Linked DNA regions of Saccharomyces cerevisiae S288C. Changing the gene in region 1 together with any one later gene gives a genetic interaction. Each region holds a gene or a part of one and is shown in the gene's direction. Other genes may lie near its edges.

Region 1 (7,644 bases):
AGCAGTAATCGGTATCGGGTTCGCCACTAATGACGTCCTACGATTGCACTCAACAGACCTTGACGCTCACGCCGTAGCGGGCGACAAGTCAAACGGAACAACCGTTGCCGTTCCCATCGGAGTCCGACCTAGGCCGAACTCCGTGAATTTCTGATAACAACGGTCGGTAAAGACTGGTTCCCCAGTATATTTCTTCTCTCAGGAGCAGGGGCCAATGCCAAAAGCGACATTAACCCGGAGGACAAGGCTCCACTGTGTTCCACCGAATTTCCCACCTGATAATATCTGATAACCCGCCCATAGGTGGGGATCCTTCTGTAAACAGGTTTCTTAATCGTAGGAATTACCACTGTTCCACTGCCAATCGCAGCTCCCAGAGTTTCGTTCCCAGCCGCGAGCACCACAGCGTACCATGTGCGCCACGAGGCCTCAAACGTAAAACAATCGAAACGAAAAGAAACAGACTATAGGGGAGTATAGAGACAGCCGGCCAATAAGAAGAGGAAAAAGAAATACTAGCGTTTATCAATGTGGGTCGTTAACATATCCTGTTGACAATGATTACAGGTTAAAAGGTAGCGTAAGTGAATATTAACTATGGATATTCTTATACTTAGATAAGAGACATATAAAACACACGATGATTGATTGATTTTTATGACCAATATATGTAATTCGTAATTCAGATAGTTTTTATACTTTTAATGTGTGCCGAACCATATTACTAGTATATGTAACTACCATGTTATGTTCAATTGGCAGATCTTTAACTCGGCTTTAGTTATCCAAGTTACTTGCAATATTTCCTTCTGCGAGAGTACATTTGCCCTTAAACGTATACGAGGTATTCATTAATGTGTGTTGTAAGTATTTAGATTGACATCTATAAGAGAGATGAACATATATATATATATATATATATATATACATGCATATTTACTATAAACGCGGTTTATTCTGCCAGGCAAAGGCAATTTGCTTTTGTTCGCCAGGCTCAATGATAACGTTGATGACACTTGTTTCTCTTTTAGTCCGAGAAAGCTGCACGGCTTGTTGGAAGCATCTGCTCAGTTCGCTTATTGTGTTGACAAAAAAATCATTGGCACCCAGTCCTTTGCCTACGAGATCGTAACGGCAGTTCTTGCTTAGTGCCGTTGGAGGTAAATCACCCTCTATATCCTTTTCTCCATGGTAAATACCGCTATTGTTCATCACAACGATGACCAATGCCAGCTGACACCTTACTGCCGTTTCAATTTCCATGGCAGAGAATCCAAATGCGGAATCACCCTGAATCAGCACCACATCGAGTTCCGGATGAGATGCCTTGCATGCAAGAGCATATCCGAGCCCAATCCCCATAGTCGCGTTGGTCCCTGCGTCTAAACGGCGCCTTGGAGCGTCTGTAGGGAATGAAATACGCGCAATATCCATAGTATTTGCTCCCTCCGTCACAAGTATTGTCCTGTAATCATCGATAAGAGGCCTCAATGTTCCATAAACCTGGTTGTAATTCAATTGTGCCCCTCTAGTCTTCTCTTTCCTCAATAGACGAGTTTGATTCAGTTGAATTTTCTCTCGTATTTCTTGCTTAACACCACTATACTTCCAGCAGGAATCTTGGCGAGTCAATTCCTCAACTAAAGCGGTTACGCTCAAGCCTATATCTCCCCATATGGAAAGGTCAGCACCAGGTGAGACATTGTTATCCCCCAAGGTTTCGGGATTGGAATCGAACTGGATGAATATGGATTCTGAGTTCCATTTGGGTGAAGTACCAAAATGCAATATCCAGTTTAATCTTGCCCCGAGAACAAGAACAATATCCGCTATTTTCAATGCTTGAGATCTTGCAGATGAAACGTTCAGTGGAGAAGAGTCTGGGACAATTCCCTTAGCCATTGGGGTGGGTAAAAATGGTAGATTGAACGTATTTACTAGTCTGCGGATTTCGTGTGAGTTTTTTACCGCACCCTTTCCAATAACAATCAGAATATTTTTATTTTTATGTTGCAAAATAAGCTGTACGACTTTTTTGATCTTCGACGGATCAGGGCCACATATGTTTGGAGTTAATATCATCGGTAATTCATTTCCTGTACGGTCGTTTCCTTCTAAGGGTTTTTCATACTCAATAAAATCTGCAGGGACGTCTATGTAAGAAACCCCTGCAGTGCCTTGTATACAGTAATTCAAAGCCTTCTGAGTAATCATGTCAATATTGTCAGGGGTTAACTTTCCGGTAAACTTCAAAAATGGGGACAAAAGACTAACTTGATCCAACTCTTGAAACCCGCCTTTATGTATATCACTTTGAGAAGAACTCCCTGCAATTACTAGAAGAGGCCACCTATTACTCATTGAGTTGTATATACCAGCCAGTGCGTGGATTAAACCGGGGCCCCCGACAATAAGTAACACGCCGGGCTTATCACTAATATAACCATAAGCAGAGGCTGCATATGAGGCAGCCTGTTCGTTCCTGCATGGAATGAATTTGATACCGTTGGCAACCATCGTATCCGCTAGTTGGACAATAGGGATGCCCACAATTCCAAAGACTGTGTCGATGCCATATTTTTGTAAAAGTTGAGCGAAGTGTTGGGTAGCGGTCGTGGTCATATTGATGGATGGTTGTGACGGTTTGAATGTAGAGAGTATATTCTTCTTATCACATAAAAGTAACCAATGCCTTTTTTTTCCTTTATATATAATGTGGTTATATACCAACCTTTTGTAAATTTCCAACTTTTTTCTTTAGTTAGCTTTGCTTGAACTTCGGGCCGAAGGGCTCGGATAAGAGAAACAATAATTTTGTTTTCATAAAACATCGATGGCTTGACTACTTCTTTTATCCTGTTCCTGAGATTCTTTCATCTTGGCGATCTTACACCTTAGTTCCATAATAGGGTCTCTTACAAAATCCCTCATTGAAACGACTTGAGAACACGCTGCTTGCGGGCAATCTCTTGTCGTGTATCCTTGTAAATAGTTTTGAATGCCGTCTCTATCGAAGACGTGATTACATTTTCTTGATATCAATGGTGCTTCGTAAGGTTTGCAGGTGATAGGACAAGTCAATTCAATTTTACCACCTTCTATTTGTAGATCGTCTTCGTCTGCGGGGTTTTGCAGATCCGGTATTACACAAGTTGGATCATTCCATATGTACGGCAACACTTTTAGTATCTTGAGTGTATCTGTGTTATTAACCATGGTTGCAGGCTCTGGTGTGGGCATATTTAGATATAATTCAGATAATTTGGGAGCGGTGAGTTCTCCGGTACGATATTTATCCCAGGTAGAAAGGTCGATTTGCGGACAGGCATCTGAGGATTGTTTGAAATTTTTTTTTAAATCTTTAATATGTTCGTCAAATGAGTTGGATTCCGATTCGTATGTCGAGAGGAGTTTGTAGGTGCTAGTAATATCTGCGACCTGCTCTTCAATGCCGATGGTGGAAGGAGATGTAGAATCCACTAATTGATTTATGGTCTCATCAATTTGTTTGTAGCATTGTTGATATATATTTGATAAGTCTCGGGCATGTAAATTATGGAAGTACTTACCTGATTTTGGGTGTAGAGGAACTGACTTGGGTATAGGATTATCGTTCAAGGCCATTTTTAAAGTTATTCTTTTTTTATATAGTCTTGCCTTGGTTTCTTTAACTGACACGATTATTTTAGCAAGTTTTTTTCTACACAGGAAAAGAGGAAGAAAATAACCAGAGAAGCACTGGTAAAAAGATACTTCTGCGTGCCGGAGTAACCAGAATCAAAGGAACGCATAGATGGATAAAGAGGTAAGTGAATTGGTAGTGTTGCAGCTAATACACACTTTAATTTCCAACAAGAATGAAGAACTGGTTAGGAACGGGGGAGGAATCAACATGATTGGGAATAATCTTCGAATATCGCTAGTCAAGTTGACTAACGAAATACAAAACAATTTGCTAATCAACGAGCTGACAAATTTAAGAAGGCAAAGCAACGTGGCAAATGGAAACAGGAAACTGGGCATCAACGATATCCTGACCATAGTTAAGAATTTATTCCCAGAGTACAGAACAACACTAAACGATGGACAACTTAGTCTACACGGTTTGGAAATGCATGATATCGAGAAGCTCCTTGACGAAAAGTACGATCGATTCAAGAAAACGCAGGTCGAACAAATAAGGATGATGGAGGATGAGATATTGAAGAACGGTATAAAGACCGGTGCATCGCAACTGCAACCACATGCAAATGCTGGCAAAAGTGGATCTGCTGGTACCAGTGCTACTATAACTACGACTACGCCACACATGGCGCATTCAATGGACCCAAAAAGAGAAAAACTATTGAAATTATACAGAGATACCGTTCTGAATAAATTGGAAAGTAAAACTGGGAATTTTCAGAAGCTATTCAAGAGTCCCGATGGTAGCATTATCAAGAATGAGATAAATTACGAAGACATAAAGAACGAAACGCCCGGCAGCGTTCATGAACTGCAGCTGATTCTTCAAAAGAGCATAACGGACGGTGTAATGCGAAAGGTCATTGGTACGGACGACTGGAAATTGGCTAGACAAGTGCAGTTTGAATTGGATGATACGGTGCAGTTCATGAGAAGAGCACTAGAGTAAGGAGATAGTAGGCGACACTTCGAAAATCTAAAGTCTTGTAACATTACTATTATATACTATTTTATTAAAAAAATACACACACAATTCTTTAACAGAACAATATATAACAAATGAAGCGACATGTTTCTCAAAAAAAAACATAGTAGGTAGGTAAAAATGGGAAAGAACGGGACAAACAAAACGAAGAGCAGGGTGTATTTGCCCACACACGGCAAACAACATCCATTCACGCCCGCATGCCCAAAACTTTTTTGCGATAAAACGCCCACGCAAATCACATCGTTCCAACAGAGGAATCGAACAGCACAGATACAAAGTAGGAATATAGCACACACACAGGAAAAATTAATTAATTATTAGAAATTAAAAGGGTTGGGGAGAAAAGAGGTCTAATTTATTCATTAATATTCAGTAATTGAAAAAAAAAAAAAAAAGAGGATAACTAAGAGAAAACAACATCAAGCTCGTTTGGCTTGCTAGTGATCGCTTAGAATCTTTGTAAACCTCTTTGTCTAGCTTGCCATTTTCTGTAGATAATGGTAGAAATGATGGCGATACAAGCCAAACCGACTAGAATAAAAACTAAGATAACACCACCTGGTAACGTGCTCATCAACATCTTTGTATAATTGTTATTGTACTATTTATTGTTTTGTATGTATACGATGGAGAAAAAGAGAAAGGAAGAAGGAAGGACGAAAGAGAAAAAACTGGAAGGGAAGAAGAATTGATTTTATATTAACCAAGAGGAAGGAAAGGAAATTGAGTTGTGATTACGGAATTTTAGTTTTTTTCACTGTTTATTTAAACCAAAAGGTGTGGAAGAGAAAGAGAGAAAAAAGTTCTGTAATTCGTTAAGGAAATTAAGTATCCGCGCCGGAAAAATAGCGAGAGGTTTTTTTTGATGCAAAAGCTAGGGAGGGCTGCGGACGGATTTCGAAAACAGCTCAACAGCGTGGTGACGAGTTGCGTCAGGGTGTTGGCCAGTGCTACCGCGGGCGGCGCTGCACAGGGAGTAAGCAGAGCGGGCTAGAGCGCGGTTTTGGAGAGGGCCCGGGCTGCTGTGGTCGTAGGATTGCGGTAATTTAGTGGCTCGCCCTCGTTTGTCGTGCTTTTTCCGAGTTCCGAAACTCTTTCCCGAGCTGTTAATGTGCTAAAAGTGGTAAATCGTATATGATGATATACGTATATGATGATAATTTCCTGCGCGCTACTTGCGTGCATTCGTCACTCATAACAAAAAGAACTACACAATACGTAAACAACGTGCGAAAATATCTATATACAAGGGGAGAAAACAAAAGTGAAAGTGCATTACAGCCCATCACAGATCATTATAATACAATATGCCGACCAAGTCAACTTTTAGTCGCTGGAAGAAGGCGGACCTAATTGACCTGGCCAACAAGCTGGAAATTGACGGCTTCCCCAATTATGCCAAGAAGAGTGATATGATCGATTACCTCGAATCGCACTTGAATCATCTTGAGAAACCTGTGGATTTTAAAGACGACTACCCGGAACTAAGGTCCTTTTATGAGTCGATGACAGTGGACCAGTCAAAGGATGAACGGAACGAATACGGATCCGGATCTGGAAACGGGTCTGGGTCTGGATCCTGTGACACCGCCACAAATGATTCCGATCTGGAGAAAGCGTACATCAAGGAGGATGATGATGAGAAACCGCAATCAGGCGATGAAACAAGCGCGACAAAGCCGCTTTCCAGCAGGAATGCAAATTCAAACGCCAAAACGAACTTCAATTTGTTGGATTTTAGCACAGATAACGACTCGTCCACCTCTGCGTTTACTAAGTTCAAGTTTAACTTTCAGGAATACCTCTCCGATATTAGATACCAAACGCAGAAATTGAATGAAAATGTTCAGGACTATCTTTCCACTATTTCCGCCGTCGATACGATTTTTTCCTTGTTGGAATTCTCTTTTCTGGTGAGAAACATATTAGCCGCCGGGCAGCCAACTTCTTCTTCTTCGCTCGCATCGTCGCTGGAAGCCGCCGTTGCCGCCCATAATAAATATCAATACACGCTCGATTTCTGTTTACCAATACTCACGTGGCTGCTCTTCTTTAGGGGTATTCCAACGTTAGTGTCATACTACATCAACTTCATCCGCTACGACCTGAACATCGAGTTGGACCCGATGACTTTCAATCTCACGAAATTCTTGATTTCTTTGGCAATCTTCAAAACTTGTAATAATAAAAACATAGATTTCCATTCTTTTCGATGTGTTAACCAACTATGGACACAACTCTGTACAGTGAACCGTTCCCTTGGTATGGTACCTCTAGTATTCTCCATGGTTAGTTGTCTCCTCACTCTATACGTATTATAGTATATTTTCTTACATACGTATACACACGCGTACGTAAGCCGCGAAGTGTGTATTTACTACTCTGTATTATTGTAATAAACTCTTCTCCTTCTTTGTCTTTTCTTCTCCCAAAAGCGCACTTGCCTTGATCAGCATATTGTATACTTCGATGTTTTCAAATGGAGGTACGACTTCATTGTTGAACATCGGACCCATTCCAATGAATATAGATGCCATATCACTACAGTTGTTAAAGTTGTATCCATGTGTGCCCATAATGCCGATAGGCACATCACCCATTTCTTTTACAATGGCGTAGTATTCATCTGCGAGAATCCAGATATCGCCGACCCTATCGTCATATCTGTGCTTTCTGTTATCGTATTGGAAATATTTCCAGCTCGGGTCGAAATCTTCTTTCAGGATCACGTGAAACTTCCTCGATATTTCATCTCCATATGCTTTCTCTAACTGAGCTTCAATCAAGTCACAAATCCATTGCTTGTCTCGAGGGTTTTTCAAACATACCATCATCATGGGGCCCTCGTTATAAAGATGCGAAATAAATGCGCTCATTGCGTCGGCCGGGAACACCCTTTCCCACACAACAACATGCTCACCGTCATTCGCGTTGACATTGCTCATGCCATGGTCACTAACAATCATAACATT
Region 2 (6,894 bases), on another chromosome or scaffold:
AAATTATACTCGGAAAATAAGGATATATTTGCATAAGCATTGTTTATAAATGCATTTAATGAACTTATGGCGAATGCTATAGATAAAGCCACAGCGCTTGGCAAATAACTACTAATGGATACGAACTGACGTGGTGCTAATAACAAATAAAAGAAGAACGATTGGTGAAATTTTTCCAAAAGGTTATTAATAGAGCGAAACATTGCTTCGGGTATACGTCCAAATGTAGTAATATCATGACCACTGTTTCCATGTGCTTTCAATGTTACAGATTGAATCCTCCAGCCGCTAAATGCCTCGTTACCATGGGGCTTTTTAACACCGGACAACGCCCAATCCCTTATTCCCAGGCATAATATTTTTAATCTTGACCAGAAATTATTATTAGTTAACTGATCACTGGGTAGACCGTGCAAAGAAACTTTCATACCTTCATGTTCCGTAATGGATATAGCGATGTTGACAAGATCCAAATTGGGCAGCTCACCATTCAGACCGTCGTATGAGATTTCTACATACTCGAAGAAATCTTCCGTACTCGAATAATCCAACACAACAGCAGCTTCAATGGAACCACCAGTCAAATCTAAGGAAGTATGGTATGCCTCAACCCATGATCTTAATGCTGCACGAGGATTTTCGCTGAAGACAACAATTATATTCTTGGACCATACTGGCCAACGTGAGAAAAATCTTGCTAAAGATACACCCAAAGCTGCGCCGCCAATATTGAATTCATCATCTGAATTAAACCATGGAACGGCAAGCACCATCGCTTCTGTTCCATCACCCCTAGGAGCGTGCATTACACCGTACAATGTTTCTCCATATTGTTCATTTTCGTAAATAGCAGTCTTAGTACCAAATTCTTGTAACCAAGAACCCATCAAATTGTTTCTTTCCATAGAAGTCATGTTTACCATTTCTTTAATTTGAGATCGATAGCCCCTCAAAATGTTCCATTCAGATTCTCTAAAGTAACTATACGCTTGTGAAGGCATCAATGCATTCTCAGAAATGTATGTTCTTCTGTACTGTCCATCCATAGGCAGAATAGCTATAGAAATAAACCCAAATAGAGCGCATAGCATGGAAATAACTGGTAATAAGGCGATTATACGCGGGACAAGCCCCATATCAACAATCCTTCGATGCAACTTCTCCAATAAGGCCATTCTTGGTGTATTATACGCGTCTTTGGTCTGTCAAGTCCTTTTATAAGACAGCAAATGTCATTTCTTTCTAAGTGTAGCCGGCGTGTATTGTTTATGACTTTTTTTTCTACCGCTGGCATTAAAGTGAGAGGTTCACGATGCGTTCCCAATAACTTCGTAGGGATGGCGATCAATATACAAATAGAGGGAAGCCAAACTCCCCACTATAAAGCTGTTGGCACGGTTTTATAAGCTTCAACCTTTCTAGGCTACAGGATACTCAAAAAAAATTACTGCGGTATTATCAACATAGTGCTCTTTGGAAAAAAAAAAAGAATAGTACTCATTAAAGCCACCTGACTCAAGTCTTCTATTGACGGTAATAAGTTAGCAAGCATGGAAGCTATTTCACAATTACGTGGTGTTCCATTGACACACCAAAAGGACTTTAGCTGGGTCTTTTTAGTAGATTGGATTCTCACGGTAGTAGTATGTTTGACAATGATATTCTACATGGGAAGAATCTATGCATACCTTGTAAGTTTTATATTAGAATGGCTACTATGGAAACGAGCGAAAATCAAGATAAATGTTGAGACACTTCGTGTCTCCTTACTAGGTGGTCGAATACATTTTAAAAACCTTTCCGTAATACACAAAGATTATACAATTTCGGTATTAGAGGGTAGTTTAACATGGAAATACTGGCTTTTAAATTGCAGAAAAGCAGAATTGATAGAGAATAACAAGTCTTCTTCTGGCAAAAAAGCAAAGCTTCCCTGTAAAATTTCCGTAGAATGTGAAGGTCTAGAAATTTTTATTTACAACAGAACAGTGGCGTACGATAATGTTATAAACTTACTATCAAAAGATGAACGCGATAAATTTGAAAAATACCTTAATGAGCATTCTTTTCCTGAACCTTTTAGCGATGGAAGTAGTGCTGATAAATTAGATGAAGATCTAAGCGAATCTGCATACACAACGAACTCTGATGCATCAATTGTTAATGACAGGGACTACCAAGAAACAGATATCGGCAAACATCCAAAGCTACTGATGTTTTTACCAATTGAGCTTAAATTTAGCCGCGGTTCCCTACTGTTAGGAAACAAATTCACGCCATCTGTTATGATTCTAAGTTATGAAAGTGGAAAAGGCATAATAGATGTTTTACCTCCAAAAGAGCGATTAGATTTATACAGAAATAAAACACAGATGGAATTCAAAAACTTCGAAATTTCTATCAAACAAAATATTGGTTACGATGATGCTATTGGATTGAAGTTTAAAATAGATAGAGGGAAAGTGTCAAAGTTATGGAAAACGTTTGTACGAGTCTTTCAGATAGTAACCAAGCCTGTTGTACCGAAAAAGACTAAAAAAAGCGCAGGCACATCAGATGACAATTTCTATCATAAATGGAAAGGTTTATCTCTTTATAAGGCTTCTGCGGGCGACGCTAAAGCAAGTGATTTAGATGATGTTGAGTTCGATTTGACGAACCATGAATATGCTAAATTTACATCAATTTTAAAATGCCCAAAGGTCACAATTGCATATGACGTGGATGTTCCGGGCGTTGTGCCACATGGTGCACATCCGACAATACCTGATATTGATGGACCAGATGTGGGCAATAACGGAGCACCTCCAGATTTTGCTTTAGATGTTCAAATTCACGGAGGATCCATCTGTTACGGACCTTGGGCTCAAAGACAAGTCAGTCATCTACAAAGAGTTCTATCACCGGTAGTTTCAAGGACAGCCAAACCTATAAAAAAACTCCCGCCAGGTTCTAGAAGAATATATACACTTTTCAGGATGAATATATCAATAATGGAAGATACTACTTGGCGTATACCGACGAGGGAAAGTAGCAAAGACCCCGAATTTTTGAAACACTACAAAGAAACTAATGAAGAATATAGGCCATTTGGATGGATGGATCTCCGATTTTGTAAGGACACCTATGCAAATTTCAATATAAGTGTTTGTCCTACAGTGCAAGGTTTTCAGAATAATTTCCATGTTCATTTCCTGGAAACCGAAATTAGGTCAAGTGTTAATCACGATATTTTGTTAAAAAGCAAGGTATTCGATATTGATGGGGATATTGGATATCCATTGGGTTGGAATAGCAAAGCTATATGGATAATTAACATGAAGTCAGAACAATTAGAGGCGTTTCTGCTACGTGAGCATATAACTTTAGTTGCAGATACGCTTTCAGACTTTTCCGCTGGTGATCCTACGCCTTACGAACTTTTTAGACCATTCGTATACAAAGTCAATTGGGAAATGGAAGGATATTCCATTTACTTAAACGTCAATGATCACAATATTGTTAACAATCCGTTAGATTTTAACGAAAACTGTTATTTATCCCTTCATGGTGATAAGCTTTCAATTGATGTCACGGTACCCCGTGAGAGTATTTTGGGGACATACACAGATATGTCCTACGAGATCTCAACTCCAATGTTCAGAATGATGTTAAATACCCCCCCTTGGAATACATTGAACGAATTCATGAAACATAAAGAAGTGGGGAGAGCATACGACTTTACAATTAAAGGTTCTTACCTTCTCTATTCCGAGTTAGATATTGATAATGTCGATACGCTAGTCATAGAGTGTAACAGCAAGAGTACAGTACTTCACTGCTATGGGTTTGTCATGAGGTATTTAACAAACGTAAAGATGAATTACTTCGGTGAATTTTTTAATTTTGTGACGTCAGAAGAGTACACAGGTGTCCTTGGCGCTAGGGAAGTCGGAGATGTCACTACGAAAAGCTCGGTGGCAGATTTGGCATCTACTGTAGATTCAGGGTACCAAAATAGCAGTCTAAAGAACGAATCTGAGGATAAAGGTCCTATGAAAAGGTCAGATTTGAAAAGGACTACCAACGAAACTGATATTTGGTTCACATTTTCGGTTTGGGATGGTGCTCTGATATTACCAGAAACGATTTACAGTTTTGATCCATGCATTGCACTACATTTTGCCGAACTTGTAGTGGATTTCAGAAGTTGTAATTATTATATGGACATAATGGCGGTTCTCAACGGGACTTCAATAAAGCGGCACGTTTCAAAACAAATAAATGAAGTATTTGATTTTATACGTCGTAATAACGGAGCTGATGAGCAAGAGCACGGATTGCTTTCGGACCTCACCATTCATGGACATAGAATGTATGGATTACCACCCACAGAACCTACCTACTTTTGTCAATGGGATATCAATCTCGGAGATTTATGCATTGATTCAGATATTGAATTTATAAAGGGATTCTTTAATTCCTTTTATAAGATAGGTTTTGGCTACAATGACTTGGAAAATATATTATTATATGACACTGAGACCATTAATGATATGACCTCGCTAACCGTGCACGTTGAAAAAATAAGAATAGGCCTTAAAGATCCGGTGATGAAATCTCAATCAGTTATTAGTGCTGAATCGATATTGTTTACTTTGATCGACTTTGAAAACGAAAAATATTCACAAAGAATAGACGTGAAAATTCCAAAATTGACAATTTCGTTAAATTGCGTGATGGGCGATGGCGTAGACACATCATTTCTCAAATTCGAAACAAAATTAAGATTTACAAACTTTGAGCAATACAAGGATATCGATAAAAAAAGATCAGAACAACGCAGATATATAACAATACACGATTCACCCTATCATAGGTGTCCTTTTCTTCTTCCGCTGTTCTATCAGGATTCGGATACATACCAAAACCTGTACGGGGCTATAGCACCATCTTCGTCTATCCCAACTTTACCTCTTCCCACTTTGCCTGATACTATAGATTATATCATTGAAGATATTGTGGGCGAGTATGCTACCCTTCTGGAGACCACAAATCCATTCAAGAACATATTCGCAGAAACTCCATCAACTATGGAGCCTTCAAGAGCCAGCTTCAGTGAAGATGATAATGACGAAGAAGCGGACCCTTCAAGCTTCAAACCTGTCGCTTTTACAGAAGACAGAAACCACGAAAGGGATAACTATGTTGTTGATGTTTCATATATTCTGTTGGATGTCGACCCGTTGCTTTTTATTTTCGCTAAGAGTTTATTAGAACAGCTTTACTCTGAAAACATGGTACAAGTCTTAGACGATATTGAAATTGGGATTGTGAAACGATTAAGCAACCTTCAAGAAGGGATCACTTCTATTTCAAACATTGATATCCATATTGCTTATCTAAATTTAATCTGGCAAGAGACAGGTGAGGAAGGTTTTGAGCTCTATTTAGATCGTATTGATTATCAAATGAGTGAAAAGTCTCTAGAGAAGAACCGAACAAATAAATTATTAGAAGTAGCAGCTTTAGCAAAGGTAAAAACTGTCAGAGTGACTGTTAACCAGAAGAAAAATCCAGACTTGTCTGAAGATCGTCCCCCTGCACTGTCGCTAGGGATTGAGGGTTTCGAAGTATGGTCTTCTACAGAAGATAGACAAGTTAACTCATTAAACTTAACGTCATCAGATATTACCATAGACGAATCTCAAATGGAATGGCTGTTTGAGTACTGTAGTGACCAGGGAAATCTTATTCAAGAGGTTTGCACTTCTTTTAATTCTATTCAGAACACCAGAAGTAATTCAAAGACAGAACTCATTTCAAAGCTCACAGCCGCAAGCGAATATTATCAAATTAGTCATGATCCTTACGTCATAACAAAACCTGCTTTTATTATGAGACTTTCCAAAGGGCATGTGCGTGAGAATCGTAGTTGGAAAATTATTACGCGTCTGAGACACATTTTAACGTACCTTCCTGATGATTGGCAAAGCAACATCGACGAAGTGCTAAAAGAAAAGAAATATACCTCTGCTAAAGATGCAAAAAATATCTTCATGTCTGTGTTTTCGACTTGGAGAAATTGGGAGTTCTCAGATGTTGCAAGGTCGTATATATACGGCAAATTATTCACGGCAGAAAATGAGAAACATAAACAAAATTTGATTAAAAAATTGTTGAAGTGTACCATGGGATCATTTTACCTTACTGTTTATGGTGAGGGATATGAGGTTGAGCATAATTTTGTTGTTGCGGATGCCAATCTGGTAGTGGATTTGACGCCTCCGGTGACAAGCTTACCTTCAAATCGAGAAGAAACTATTGAAATTACGGGAAGAGTAGGCTCAGTAAAAGGAAAATTCAGTGATAGGTTACTTAAATTGCAAGATCTTATTCCACTCATTGCAGCAGTGGGCGAAGATGACAAAAGTGATCCAAAAAAGGAGTTATCAAAGCAATTCAAAATGAACACCGTTTTATTAGTGGATAAAAGTGAACTGCAACTGGTCATGGACCAAACGAAGCTGATGAGTAGAACAGTTGGGGGTAGAGTTAGTTTACTATGGGAAAATCTAAAAGATTCAACTAGTCAAGCGGGTTCATTGGTTATATTTTCCCAGAAATCGGAAGTGTGGTTAAAACACACATCTGTCATTTTGGGAGAAGCTCAACTGCGCGACTTTTCAGTTTTAGCGACTACTGAGGCATGGTCACACAAGCCTACGATTCTGATAAACAACCAGTGCGCAGATCTTCATTTTAGAGCAATGAGTTCAACTGAGCAATTAGTAACCGCTATTACTGAAATTAGGGAAAGTCTGATGATGATTAAAGAGCGCATAAAGTTTAAACCTAAATCAAAGAAAAAGTCCCAATTTGTCGACCAGAAAATTAATACAGTCTTGTCATGTT

The links. Genes that interact genetically often act in the same process or in processes that back each other up.
Region 2: mutations in EAF5 (region 1) and CSF1 together harm fitness more than expected from each alone (negative genetic interaction), as found in Saccharomyces cerevisiae (6 studies listed by BioGRID, with this or other methods).

What each region holds. Positions count from the first base shown.
Region 1 is NC_001137.3:117,678-125,321, forward strand, and holds EAF5 (Eaf5p), read left to right. Parts: upstream 1-3,793; coding exon 3,794-4,633; downstream 4,634-7,644. Other genes in the region: PXP1 (putative indolepyruvate decarboxylase family protein), read right to left, coding at 940-2,622; SUMO ligase MMS21, read right to left, coding at 2,821-3,624; PMP2 (proteolipid ATPase), read right to left, coding at 5,121-5,252; GTT3 (Gtt3p), read left to right, coding at 5,980-6,993; nucleotide diphosphatase/phosphodiesterase NPP2, read right to left, coding at 7,060-7,644. UniProt on the Saccharomyces cerevisiae protein: Component of the NuA4 histone acetyltransferase complex which is involved in transcriptional activation of selected genes principally by acetylation of nucleosomal histone H4 and H2A. The NuA4 complex is also involved in DNA repair.
Region 2 is NC_001144.5:310,388-317,281, reverse strand, and holds the start of CSF1 (Csf1p), read left to right. Parts: upstream 1-1,550; coding exon 1,551-6,894. Other genes in the region: GPI-anchor transamidase subunit GAA1, read right to left, coding at 1-1,175. UniProt on the Saccharomyces cerevisiae protein: Tube-forming lipid transport protein which provides phosphatidylethanolamine for glycosylphosphatidylinositol (GPI) anchor synthesis in the endoplasmic reticulum. Required for the glucose and other nutrients uptake at low temperature.